2 linked regions of the Drosophila melanogaster genome follow. The protein of the gene in region 1 interacts with the protein of each later gene in a pairwise test. Each region holds a gene or a part of one and is shown on either strand. Other genes may lie near its edges.

What was found. The genes of interacting proteins can lie anywhere in the genome.
Region 2: the proteins of CG34367 (region 1) and NC2alpha interact in a two-hybrid assay, tested with the Drosophila melanogaster proteins (one large-scale study listed by BioGRID).

Annotation. Positions count from the first base shown.
Region 1 is NT_033779.5:10,347,776-10,355,601, forward strand, and holds CG34367 (uncharacterized protein), read right to left. Parts: upstream 6,131-7,826; 5' UTR 5,857-6,130; coding exon 5,457-5,856; intron 4,317-5,456; exon of another isoform or gene 4,282-4,316; coding exon of another isoform or gene 4,251-4,281; coding exon 3,940-4,250; intron 3,003-3,939; coding exon 2,945-3,002; intron 1,199-2,944; coding exon 885-1,198; intron 422-884; coding exon 242-421; 3' UTR 76-241; downstream 1-75. Other genes in the region: CtsL4 (cathepsin L4), read right to left, coding at 7,035-7,230, 7,291-7,451, 7,707-7,826.
Region 2 is NT_033778.4:21,668,172-21,672,093, reverse strand, and holds NC2alpha (negative cofactor 2alpha), read right to left. Parts: upstream 1,943-3,922; 5' UTR 1,848-1,942; coding exon 1,806-1,847; intron 1,599-1,805; coding exon 615-1,598; 3' UTR 501-614; downstream 1-500. Other genes in the region: CG15676 (uncharacterized protein), read right to left, coding at 1-365; CG42381 (uncharacterized protein), read left to right, coding at 2,276-2,339, 2,401-2,557, 2,614-2,623; CG42379 (uncharacterized protein), read left to right, coding at 2,623-2,877; CG42380 (uncharacterized protein), read left to right, coding at 2,886-3,083; PIG-M (phosphatidylinositol glycan anchor biosynthesis class M), read left to right, coding at 3,106-3,922.

The DNA.
Region 1 (7,826 bases):
AAACAAAAATTTAAGAATGAGATGATCAATTGAAGCATTAGATGATCCACGATCACGTTCAAAAACAGTTCTTTTATTTGTCGATATTGGTTTTAAGTCATTCTTATTCATTAGATTTATTAAGTAAGACTTTAATTAAATAAATAAATGTGGCTATCCTTTTTATTACTTTGGTGCTAGACGCAATTCCACCGCACCATCGATTGAATGTACATGTCTACGTTCTACTACCAGGTGGTCACTAGAGCACCATGTCCGCCTGCAGACCCAACGATTCCGAGTGCTTCTTGGCCTTCATCCGGAGATCGGCTATCGAAGAGCTCTTGCTGTGGGCGGCGGCGAAGGCGGCCAGATTTATGGAGTACTGGGGCACAGAAAACAATCCAGCCGGCACGGTTCCATTAGTTATAGCAGCTGCGTACTGAAATCAGCAAAAGAATAGATATATAGATACATATACATTAAATTGTATCTATTTTGCTTAACTCGTATTGGGACCATTAGAAATAAAGATTATATTCAATATTTAGAAGAATTTTCTTGGCAAGGATTCTTCAGAATCTCATATTTTTATGCTCTTAGTACATACAAACTTCAATGTGAAATATTTCAAATGAAAAACGGCTTTTTTCCAAACTTTGTCGTATAAGTTAGTTATCATAAAAACGATACGCATTATTATAAGTAATTAAGCTTTTAAGCTTTGCACTAATGAATAACTTTTCGATGGTTTAAATAAATAAAATCTTTAAAATTTTGTCGAGATTATAAAATTGTATGTTTAACCAGCGCCTGCCTCAATCGATTACAATATTTTAAGTTCAGGATTGGCATCGCTGAATCTGCCAGGATCATAGATGCAATACTACCATTTGGAATTTTACCTGATGAGCTGCCACCGAAATAATGGCCGGATCGAAAGCGGAAAAGGCGGCGGCTGCTGCCACGGTGCTGGAAAACTGTTTGATAGCCGAGCGCGATATCGCCGGATTGTGATTATGTGGTGAGTCCACGGTGACCACCTTGCCGGAACTGCTGGTTCCGGAGACACCGGGTGCCTGGGGATTCGAGCTGGTCGCTGCGGCAGGATGGGATGGAACGGATGAGCTGCGAAGGGCGGCCAGGCTGACGTAGGGAGCCACACGACATGGTTCCAGCGGAGTGGCAATCGGCGGACTCCGGCTGCCCACGAGGAATCCTTTAAGATATAAGTGGATTACATGAGACGTGTTGCACTTGGATGGGGCTTGTGGAACTAAAGTGTAGATTTAAGTTTGACTTTCATTGTAAGAAAGTAAGGTTTAAGGTTTAAGGTTGAAAAAGGTTAGTTAGGGAAAGGTTTTTTAAGTTTACAGTTTGTATAATCTGTTCAAATTTTGGATCAATTATGTAATGTGGCTTAAATTGTTATAATTTAAGATCTTTAGTGCGATTAAGTTGTTAAGCTCTTTAACTTTCATTGACCATTAAAATACGAACATTTAAAAACATTCGCTAAAAATGAAACATGCAGGTAAGACAAAATTCTGCTTGTAACTGAAAAGACGAATACAGTTTATATATTAGTAATAATATATAATTATTAATAATGTACTTAAACAAAAAGGTTAAGAACTGCAAAACTTTTTGTGTAAGGTTATAGAGTAAAAACAGGTAATAAGTACAAACTTATTTGCATTAAGTTTTCAGTGTATAAAAAAGTGATTTAAATTTTTAAGATGCACCAAAGAAATAAGCAATATTTTAAGGATTATCCGAAGGATTCACTGCCGGCAATCACTCTGCTTAGATGGATATGTACCGTACCTGCTAGATTGGCAAATCGTTTTAAGATTCAGTGACAAGTAATTGAATTCATTTTGTAATTTATTGCTCGGAAAACGCCCCGGAAAGTCGGAAAGCCGGATGGCCGGAACCACAGGGACGTGTTACCGCTGGCGGGTGAAATTTCTGGAGTGGAGCGGCACATACAAATGGGTCTCCTGGGAACTGGAGGCCAGGTTAACGTCTTGTTTATGGGTGGTTCACCGTGGCAAAGAGCCTGAGAATTGATATGGACCCATAAAGTGCTGGCCATTCCATTCGCCGTGTCTGCCGTGCTTTTTATGCCAAAATTTCAATTTGATTACATTTCCGAAAAGTTTTTTATGCCCGAAGGTCCAGTATTGAAATACGGCCGCATTAGGCGGCAAATTTGATAAATGCGATTATATCTTTTTTAATCCAATTAGGCTGAGCTACCCGAATGCGATTTATATTTATGTGAAAAAGCACACACACTCAGGAAGTCATAAATGCGTAAATGTATTGATTTGCATTCTTCTAAACTCGAAAATAAATTTTTTCGCGCACCTCAACACCTCCGGGTTTTCAGTTCAGTTTGTTTGCCCTTCGAATTATAATCAGGACTCACAAACGCATCTGCTCAGATTTTAGCCAGCGAAATCCCTTCGGCAATATATACATAAAATAAGAACGCTTCTCTTTTTTTTTTTAGCGACAGCAAAGCACAAATCATTGCTAACTTCATCAAATTAAATATTCGGGCAATAAAACGAAGGATACAAATTCTATCGAGTGGCGTAGGGCGGGGAAGTTGATGGATGGATGGGGGGGTTAAGTCCTTGGAAACGAGGGTTGAACGGAAACGGAAAGCCAAATGAATTAATGAAGAGACATTTAAACAACTGTGAAAACCGTAACATATTGGCCCCAGCAAGTTGATAAGCCAGAAAATGAACAGCAGCATTCCGAAATGTAAATGTTCTAGCCTGATTTTTGTGTACTTAACTAATTGCAATTTACACTTTCATTAAGCTTAATTGGCGCAAACTTGGCGAAGGTGAGAGGGGTGCTTAAAAAAAAGGGGCACCAATTTATGCTAGTTTTTAATTACATTAATGTTTTAAAGTTAACTTAGAAGGAGCCTTAGTTATTTGCTCACCTTTGTGCATTTGGTTTTCGTGCTTTCTACATTTCGCCCTTCTATTTTGAAACCAAACCTGCAAGAACACATAATTGATAAATGAAAGTTACCATCACATCACTTGTTTGTTTCATTAATATAAATTAAGGAAATTAAGGCATTATAATATCCGATTTGGTCATTAGTTGCTTCAGTATACACTGAATTATCACTGTTTATTTCCCGTTAATCTCGGCAGATGCGTACTTCTTAGATATTTTAGCGGGCTAAAAGTTGCGAAGAGCTAAGCAATTTATTACGGACCATAAAAAAAGTGACACTCCTGCTGGCTTTGGAATTGTAACTACATATTTCATGACCACATAGTGCCTATTCCAGCACCCTGATTGAGCATTTAATCTCTAACCGGCCCCCCGATGCTCGAGCAATTTTCTACTTGTGTCCCAGACGACAAAGGGTGGCGTAAACCACTTAACACCCCATATCTATGCCATCTATGCCCTTACAGAGTGTATATGTACTTTGTCAGCATATACATATATATATTTTGGATCAGCATCGAGTTGTGTCACTTTGTCTATATGTCCGTAAGTCAGAATGTCCGTATATCTGTCTGTCCATTCGTCTGCATATCTGTATCTGCACATCATCCTTACAAAAGGTAGTTATTATTATCATCGAATATAGTATCTATGTATGCTGGTTGATAATAATTGAAAAACCTATTTTCTAGTTTTCCTTTAAGCTGTAGGGTATATAAACTTCGACTTTCCAATGTAGTTTCCTTCATTATTTTCACCATGCCGGTGGTTGAAAAATCAAAGTCACTGCTTCCACATTCGGTCGAAATATTTCGGGGAGACAATGTCTGGTTGTCATTAGTACAAGTGTAATGAATAACCATTGAAAAACAATTTGGACCTCGTGGTGTCCAAAGGGGCGTCCTCGGACATTTCCAATGTCATGTTGCAATCGGGGTATAATTTATGGAGTTGATGCGTGAACATAATTACCTGCACTCTAGCTTCGCTGAGGCCCAGTCGCTGACTCAGTTCCTCGCGCATGAAGGCATCTGGATAGTGGGTCTCCTCGAACAGTCGCTCCAGCTCGTTCAGCTGGTCCAGGGTGAAGTTCGTCCGCGATCTCCGCTGCTTGGTGTTCACCAGCGACGTGTCCAGCGGATCGCAGTGCTCCCGGTTGCGACTGGGCTCCGGAGAGACGCATTCTTCCGGCAATAATGGCTTATCCGGCGCCAGCTTTGGCGTATTACTGTCCTCCGTGCACTCGGTTATGCTGGCAGTGGGCAATCCAGACATTTTCGGATCTGAAAAGGTTATAGTTTTTTCTATATTCATATGCGTATGGCATACTTAATGTCAATCGATCTAGAATATAAAACACAAGTTTATCCTTTTATTTTGAATGCTTGGGTCACTTTTTTTACACTTTTAAAATTAAAAAGAAATTCAAACAAATTTATCATGATGTCTCTTAAAAAATTTTTAAGTCAGTAGATTTTGTTTGTAATAATTATATTATTATAATGTATTATTCTTAACTTTAAGATTTCTTTCTCTATTTATACTGGTTATAAAAACGGCAAAAAAAAGGCATTAGTCTTTATTTAATTAAAATGTGTGATTATTGATTTGTTATGCACCGAAAATACAAGTTCATTATCCGACGGATTATATAGACACTATGAATAAGATCATTTTTATTTGAAACTTGTACACAAAGTTAATGGGCACTTTTTGATGAATATATGTACATGCTACAACTACTGGCTTATTAACTCAAATATTTACGGATATCGAATAAACTACATACTTTATATGGACATTAATGGTTAGATGAATCAACGCAATGGATTACGAATTGCTTTTAGATATTGATATGTGACGGTAATAAAGTTATAGGTAAAAGGTTTATTAGGCAATTATCTTGTTTAACACTTTGACTTTAACCTATACCGTACAAAGTATCTTTCACTAGGATTCACTAGCTGAGTCGATCAAGCCATGTCCGTTTGTTTGTCCGTTTATCTGTCCGTATAAAAGTGATATCCTTACTTATTCGCGTTTTTGTATTCGATCCATGTGTAATAAAAAAGTCATGCTATAAATGTCATAATTCTTAACAAACATCCTAATTATGCAACAACTTTTCAGTTTTTTCTATTATTGAGTGATATCCGGTCGGTTTTAAATCCATGTTGCAATTTAAAACATGTTATATATAGTTGTTTAAGCCACAAATATATAATTAAAGATATCGTAATCCCAAAATTTGCCAAATAAATTAGTAACTAAGTAACATAATGGTAAGAAAATATTAAATGCAGGTAAAAATATTATTCTATTCTTGTTAAAAACAAAAGAAATAAATTTGCTTTGGACCATGCAAATTGTTCAATCACCGACGGATTATATAGGATATCAGATTGCGGATTATCTTAAGATATCAGCTTGCGGAATGTTTTAAGCGATATCTACCAGCACTACCCATCATATCCAGTTAGTGAAGTTACCTTCCGGCTGGGAGTCCACGTCCAAATCCTCCGAAATTAGCCAGTTCTTGGGCTTCGGCTCCACCGCCGCCTTGTGGAGAGTGGGACTAAGGCTGTAGGTTTCCACATGCTCCTCGCGCTGCGAATGAGATTCTTCCGTTGGCTCCGGATCGATAGCGAGGATCGTATTGCTCTCGGATACGGATAGGTCGGTAATGTCTATGTCCACGGACTCCTCGCCACTCGCGCAAGTATCGGCATAACTGCCGCCGGAACTGATCGAGTTTATGAATATGGAATTTTTCACTTCCGTGGGCTTTTTTAAACGCGCGCCCGTCATCGAATTGAATAAGGCGTGTACACTGTTGTTAGTTAGATTGAACTCAAAGGACTTGGTGACAAACTGGGCCAACTGCTCCATTATCCTTGGCTTGGGTAAACAAATAAATGCCGTTGCTTTTTTATGCGTTCGAGCATAAGTTGCTGTAACGAAACTAAGCTGCCGACTATTTTATAGTCAACACCAATGGCATTCGGCGTGCCTAATCACCTCAGTTGGCTCTTTATTGCTGCGCATGTCCTTCGGATTATCCACATTCGATTCAACCGCTTAAATTGTTCGTTCGAGAGCGCGACGGAATAGAAAATATTATCGCTTCGATTTTGGCCAGACATAAACGGATGACTGCCCGTTTTAATGGACAAATATGACTAGTTCAACATCTTGACTCTATTCAATTAGCAATTTCTTTGGTCCTGCAACAGCACTTCACTCTCCTACCCTTCAAAAATCCAGCGAAATCGCTCTCTCTCTCTCGCGTGAGTCCTTAAAAAATCCACCCCAAGTCGGCGGGGCAGTGTAAAGTTAAGTGAAGTCCTGCCTACGGAGGTCCTTTCAATTGCTCTCATTGGTCTACGGAGCAGGCAAAGTGGTTGCACGCTCAGCGATTCCAGCTTACTTTCCTATTATTGGTTATAGCCATTATGGAGCACTATTTATCCATTAAGCGGCAATGAAACACATTATAATTGCAATAAATGATGCCATTGTGGGAGGAGTTTTGCGCGAAAGTTTCACATCCTGGTCGAAGGATTTCCAGCGCTCAGCTTTTTGGCACTTTATAAATACCATTTAAATCGCTGTGCTTGCCACGCAAATCCACAGGAAAAGGGCATTATTTTTATTTCACAAAGTCGTCGCCGTCGTTTGGGGAGCTGTTTTATCGATTTGTGGGCGGGCTCAGTGCCATAAAACAAGGATCTGAGTTGGCGCTTTGCCACGCCCCCCATATTCATTACTTCAACTTTGTGCTAATGACACTGGGCTACAAAGGTGGCATAACTCATTGCTGAGTTTATTGCACAAGTATCCAATCGAAGGACGAATATACTCAGCTAATGTCCTAGTTTTTACAGAACGAACATGTGCCATCTTCATTTGTCAAACTGAACTGTGTTGCACAGTGTAAACTCATTAATTTATCAACATATCAAACCCATTGAGTTAGAGACATCTAGAATTTCAAATTCATAAGTTATTATTAAAAAATCATTTATTTTCTCATCAGTTTATAGATATTTTGTTATAAGAGATTTAGTTTAAACAATTGCATAAGCGGCATAATTGGCAATTCCGCACATATTGACTCCCTTGCGAATTCGTATGTAACCATTTTCGCCCCAATTTTGGCCCCACCAATTCTTTAGTATCCAATAATCCTTTCCAAAACCAATTACCACCATGGCATGATTTACGGAAGCCGATGAGCACAAGGGGTCATCGTAGATGCCGTCACTGAGACAAAAGGCTAAATTTAAAAACAAAAATATATATGTAAGTATTTACGGTCATTACCTGTACAGTTGAAATGTCTTTGGGGAGGCATTTATAGAAATTGCAACTGGTCCAATGTGGGTAACTGCCGCCTGAATGGCCTGCTCATCGCGCACGGGAAGAATGGCCCAGGATGTCACATTAACTACGGATAAATCGGGTACGAACTGGCATTTGCCTTTCTGAAAAACATATGCATTAGTTAGCATTAGTTGTATTGCCTGTAATAACTAAATATTCTACTATTCTAATATTCAATATCACCAAAAATAATTTGATAATGTTTAAAAAACAAAAGATTCGTTCCTTAACTTACCAATTAAATGAATAGCTCAAGCTGTAGTCATTCTAACACCTTGATTTTTATAAAGCTTATAAATAAGCGTATATATCTAAATAAAAGCAACTAACTATCTTCCTAATTGTTTGGTATTTACCCTTGCCACATACGGATAATCTTGGTCCCTCATTATGCCGCCCGTGCTCTGCAAATAACTCAAAGTATTTCGCAGGGAGCCGCCGACGCATCCTTGGTTTCCATGGGACACACTGCAGTC
Region 2 (3,922 bases), on another chromosome or scaffold:
TGAAGGGTAACCTTTTGCACTGGCGGTATGCTCACCCATCTGAATACTCCCTGTGCGATTTGCACGAGGCTGTGAACTTCCTTGTCAGGATTGTCTATGAACCTCCTCACCAATTCCAAATTATTTTTGGCAGCCTCCAAACGGGTTAACACTGCTGTGAGGTCAGTCTCCAACTTGGCAGCCAGTTCGCTGTATTGCACATAGAAAAGGCGTTGCATCTTCAATGCCGCTGGAACAGTCGAATAGAACTCTGGCTTGGCGATGTAGCTGACGACATCGTCAACTAACTTGGCCTCTGGGATGGGCATAAATGACTTTCGGCCGCCCAGAGGCGGCTTTTTTATGGTGTCTATGAATGCAAACATTTTCAATAATTGTTGAACTTGTTTAGTACATCTAATTCAAAGATAAACTGATTTAATATCGTATGCAAATTAAACAGCATTATCTGCTAGAATGTATAAATTTTCTTTCTCTATTTAAAGTACTCCGCATTGCGTCAGCTTAAAATCCAGCATGGTCTTTATTTTGCAAAAAATGTTATTGTGATTTCTTAGACCTAGAGTACATATTAATGTATCAATAATTTAAAAGCGCATTCACATAGATCCTAATCAAATATTGTCATAGTCTTCGTCTAATTCGAAAACGGTTTCAGTGGGGGTCGCTGATGCCGCTGTGGCCTTTGGAATGATGGGAGCGCTGCTCTTTCCAGCCATTTGGTTCACATTATTGTTGTCCCCCGGCGTGGCCGCTGGTAATCCAATAGAGGCGGGGGGCACACCACTGCCAGGTGCTCCACCGGCCACGATATTCGTCAGATCGATATTGATCACCGGAGCAGCTATGTCGAAGTTAAAAGCTCCAGATCCGGCGCCCGATCCTGACCCAGAATCAGAGGCGTCCGGTGTGCACAGGTTCGCCGTCGGCATTTGCACGTGGCTGTAGTCGATCTTGACAATGGGCTTGTTGAGTTCGTAGTTGCAGATCGGGGCGGGTATGGCAGTATCGAGCTGCACCGACTGTTTCTTGAGGTGATTGGGCGGTCTGCCCCGTGGCGTGTAGGCCGGCATGGACCCGGAGCGGGCCAGCTTGGCGGGCAGGGTGGTGCTGGTGGTGGGAGTTTCCTGGGTGGAGTGCTGCGACTGAAACTGCCGCTTGGTGGCTGCGGCTCCTCCGCCCGATCCGGCTCCGTTGTTCAGACTCATGGAGCGCATGTAGGCAGCTGTGCCGTTCGCCTGCGAGCGCATTGACGTCGATGGCAGGCTAAGATCATATGGCGTGTCTGAATCTGGATACTGTTCCTCTGGCGAGCTGCGTAACACATCGTCCTCGTTGTAGGCGGCCTCCTCGGCCACACTGATGTCGGGTATGTTGCGGACCAGCTCCTTGAGGAAGTCAAAGCGTTTCTCGGATACGATACACTGCCTCATGTGCGATGGCGATAGCGTCTTGGCGTTGCGCGCATTCGTGATGCGCAGCGTCTTGGTCAGCAGCGACTCCACGAAGAGCTCCAGCGTGCGTGAGATGATAACAGGCACCGCCTGGGCCACCTTCCCGATTTCCTCGTCGCTTTGCATGATCTTCTTGATGCGACCCTGCAAGGAGTTTATGGTAATGGTTTGGAAACATTATAATCTCGCACCGGTTTGGTTTCTCCTCTACTTCTTTTGAGCCTCTGATTATGCGAGGCGTGTATGTACATATGTATGTACACATGCACGAAAACTGATAACCCATCTTCGGCGTTCACGGCCGCCAAATGGCTGGAGCTTTCCTGTCGCCAATCGGTGGTTTCAACTTACCGCCGGAAAGCGTGCGTTGTATTTTTTCTTTTTCGATGGCATTTTCCGATTTGTGAAGTAATCGTCAAGAGTCCTAGTGAAATAAAACAAATGTGTGTGTGTTTTTCACACAAGAACAGTTCCTTGGTGCCCAACTGTCGGCGTCGATGGGTGAATGGCAGTTGCTCTCGCAGCAGGCGGGGTATTCACAGGGAAGCAAAAGGTATTAATATCAAAATTTGAAAGATTAAAAATTTTTGTACATTATAAGAGATGTTATTTCTTTTTGTTGTTATTTATGTGATTGTTTTTTATTTTGCTTTGATGTATTAGGTTTCCTACACAGCTGACCGTCGCGCAGTCTGGCTACCTTGATCGTGCACTGTGAATGACTACAACCGCCAAGAAGAAGAAGAGTGCAGAACACTTCCAAGTACTTTTCACATATTGCAAGAGCGATTTAATATCGTAAGAATTCTGGGCAGGATTACATGTCTGACACTCGCAAGGATCCCTGCAAACCGAACGCCTGCCGCATACAAGCCTGTCTGACCAGTAAGCACCGCCGGTGACTCCATTTTCATGGTTATGTAAGCTGACTTGCACTCGGTTACAGAGAATCACTACCAGGAGGACAAGTGCTTGGATGTCCTTGAGGCAATGCGCCAGTGCTGTTTAAAGTGGCACAAGGAATCGCTTTGCTGCAGTGGAATCGATTTGGAGAAGACTTATCTACCAGACGCATCCAAGGAAAAGAACGCAACCGGCAAGTCGTGAGTTGTAGCCAACTTCTCTATTCCATATACACTATTATCAACTCGTTTTGCAGGAACAAATAATGTCCATACCGCAGTATAGGCCTCCGAAGGAAATTCAAGACTTGCTGGACCAAAAGGAGCAACAGCAAGCAAATCAGCGCAGGCGAACCGCTGTGCTACCCAAACGCACGTGGATTCAGCGAAATCCACGCCTGTTCCAGATCTCCTTCATCACAGGCTCACTTCTGATCTTCTTCTCCAAGCCCCTGTTTGACTGCTTTATCGCCGATCCCCTACCACCGCCGGAGAACAAAGTTCCGCCTCACAAGCGCTAAGCTAAGGCATGGAATCGGTGCGCAAAGCCAACCAAAGAATCCGCAACTATCCAGTTCTGCTAAGCAAGTGCGCGGACAAAGCCACTGCGTATGCGGTTTGCGTGTCGCGTGATCTAAACGTGCAGCACAAAATCTGCGACACCGAGTTCAAGGAGTTCCTAAGCTGTATCCGCAAGACCGCTTTGGAAATGAAGACCAAGCTTTAGACAAACGTAAACAATAAACACGATGACTCAAACAAAGGCTGCGACCACTGGATGGCAGCGACTGGGTCGCCGCATCCTTTACACTAGCTTTCGGACCCATCTACTAATATCCGCCCTGCTGCGAATAGCTTTAATTTGCTACGGACAATTACACGACAGTCAGTCCGCCGTGCCCTACACCGATATAGACTACAAGGTGGTGACTGATGGAGCCCGTCAAGTTCTGGCTGGGGACACACCCTTCGCCAGGCATACTTACCGATATAGCCCAATCATGGCATATCTGCAGACTTTTAACATCCTGCTTCATCCGGCGTGGGGTAAACTACTGTATGCGACATTCGATCTTCTCATCGCCACACTTATTTACCGTCTGGTGCACATGGAAATCAAGAGTCAGTACCAGAAGACCGTACAACACCTGCTTAGCAAGTTCAACAGGCCACGGGACTCGGACCAATCGCTGGATGCCCTGGATGAGCGAAGTCATCCAGAGAACTTGGCCCGCGCCTCTGCTTGCTTTTGGTTATACAACCCGCTGACGGCTGTAATATCCACACGTGGAAGCGGCGATTGCTTCTCAAGCTTCTTCGTGATACTAACTATATACCTGCTGTTAAAATCTGAGCACAATGTCACCAGGAGTTACTGGCTTATATTCGGAGCGGGCTTGGCTCACGGTCTAGTGATACACCTCCGTCTGTATCCGTTGCTATTCAGTTTGGCATACTATTTATCGCTATCAACGCGGCTGACACAAACTCCCCTCGACTTCCTGTGCCAAATCCTGCGGCCCAACAAGCAACAACTGTGCCTGATAAGTGGAACATTGATCAGCC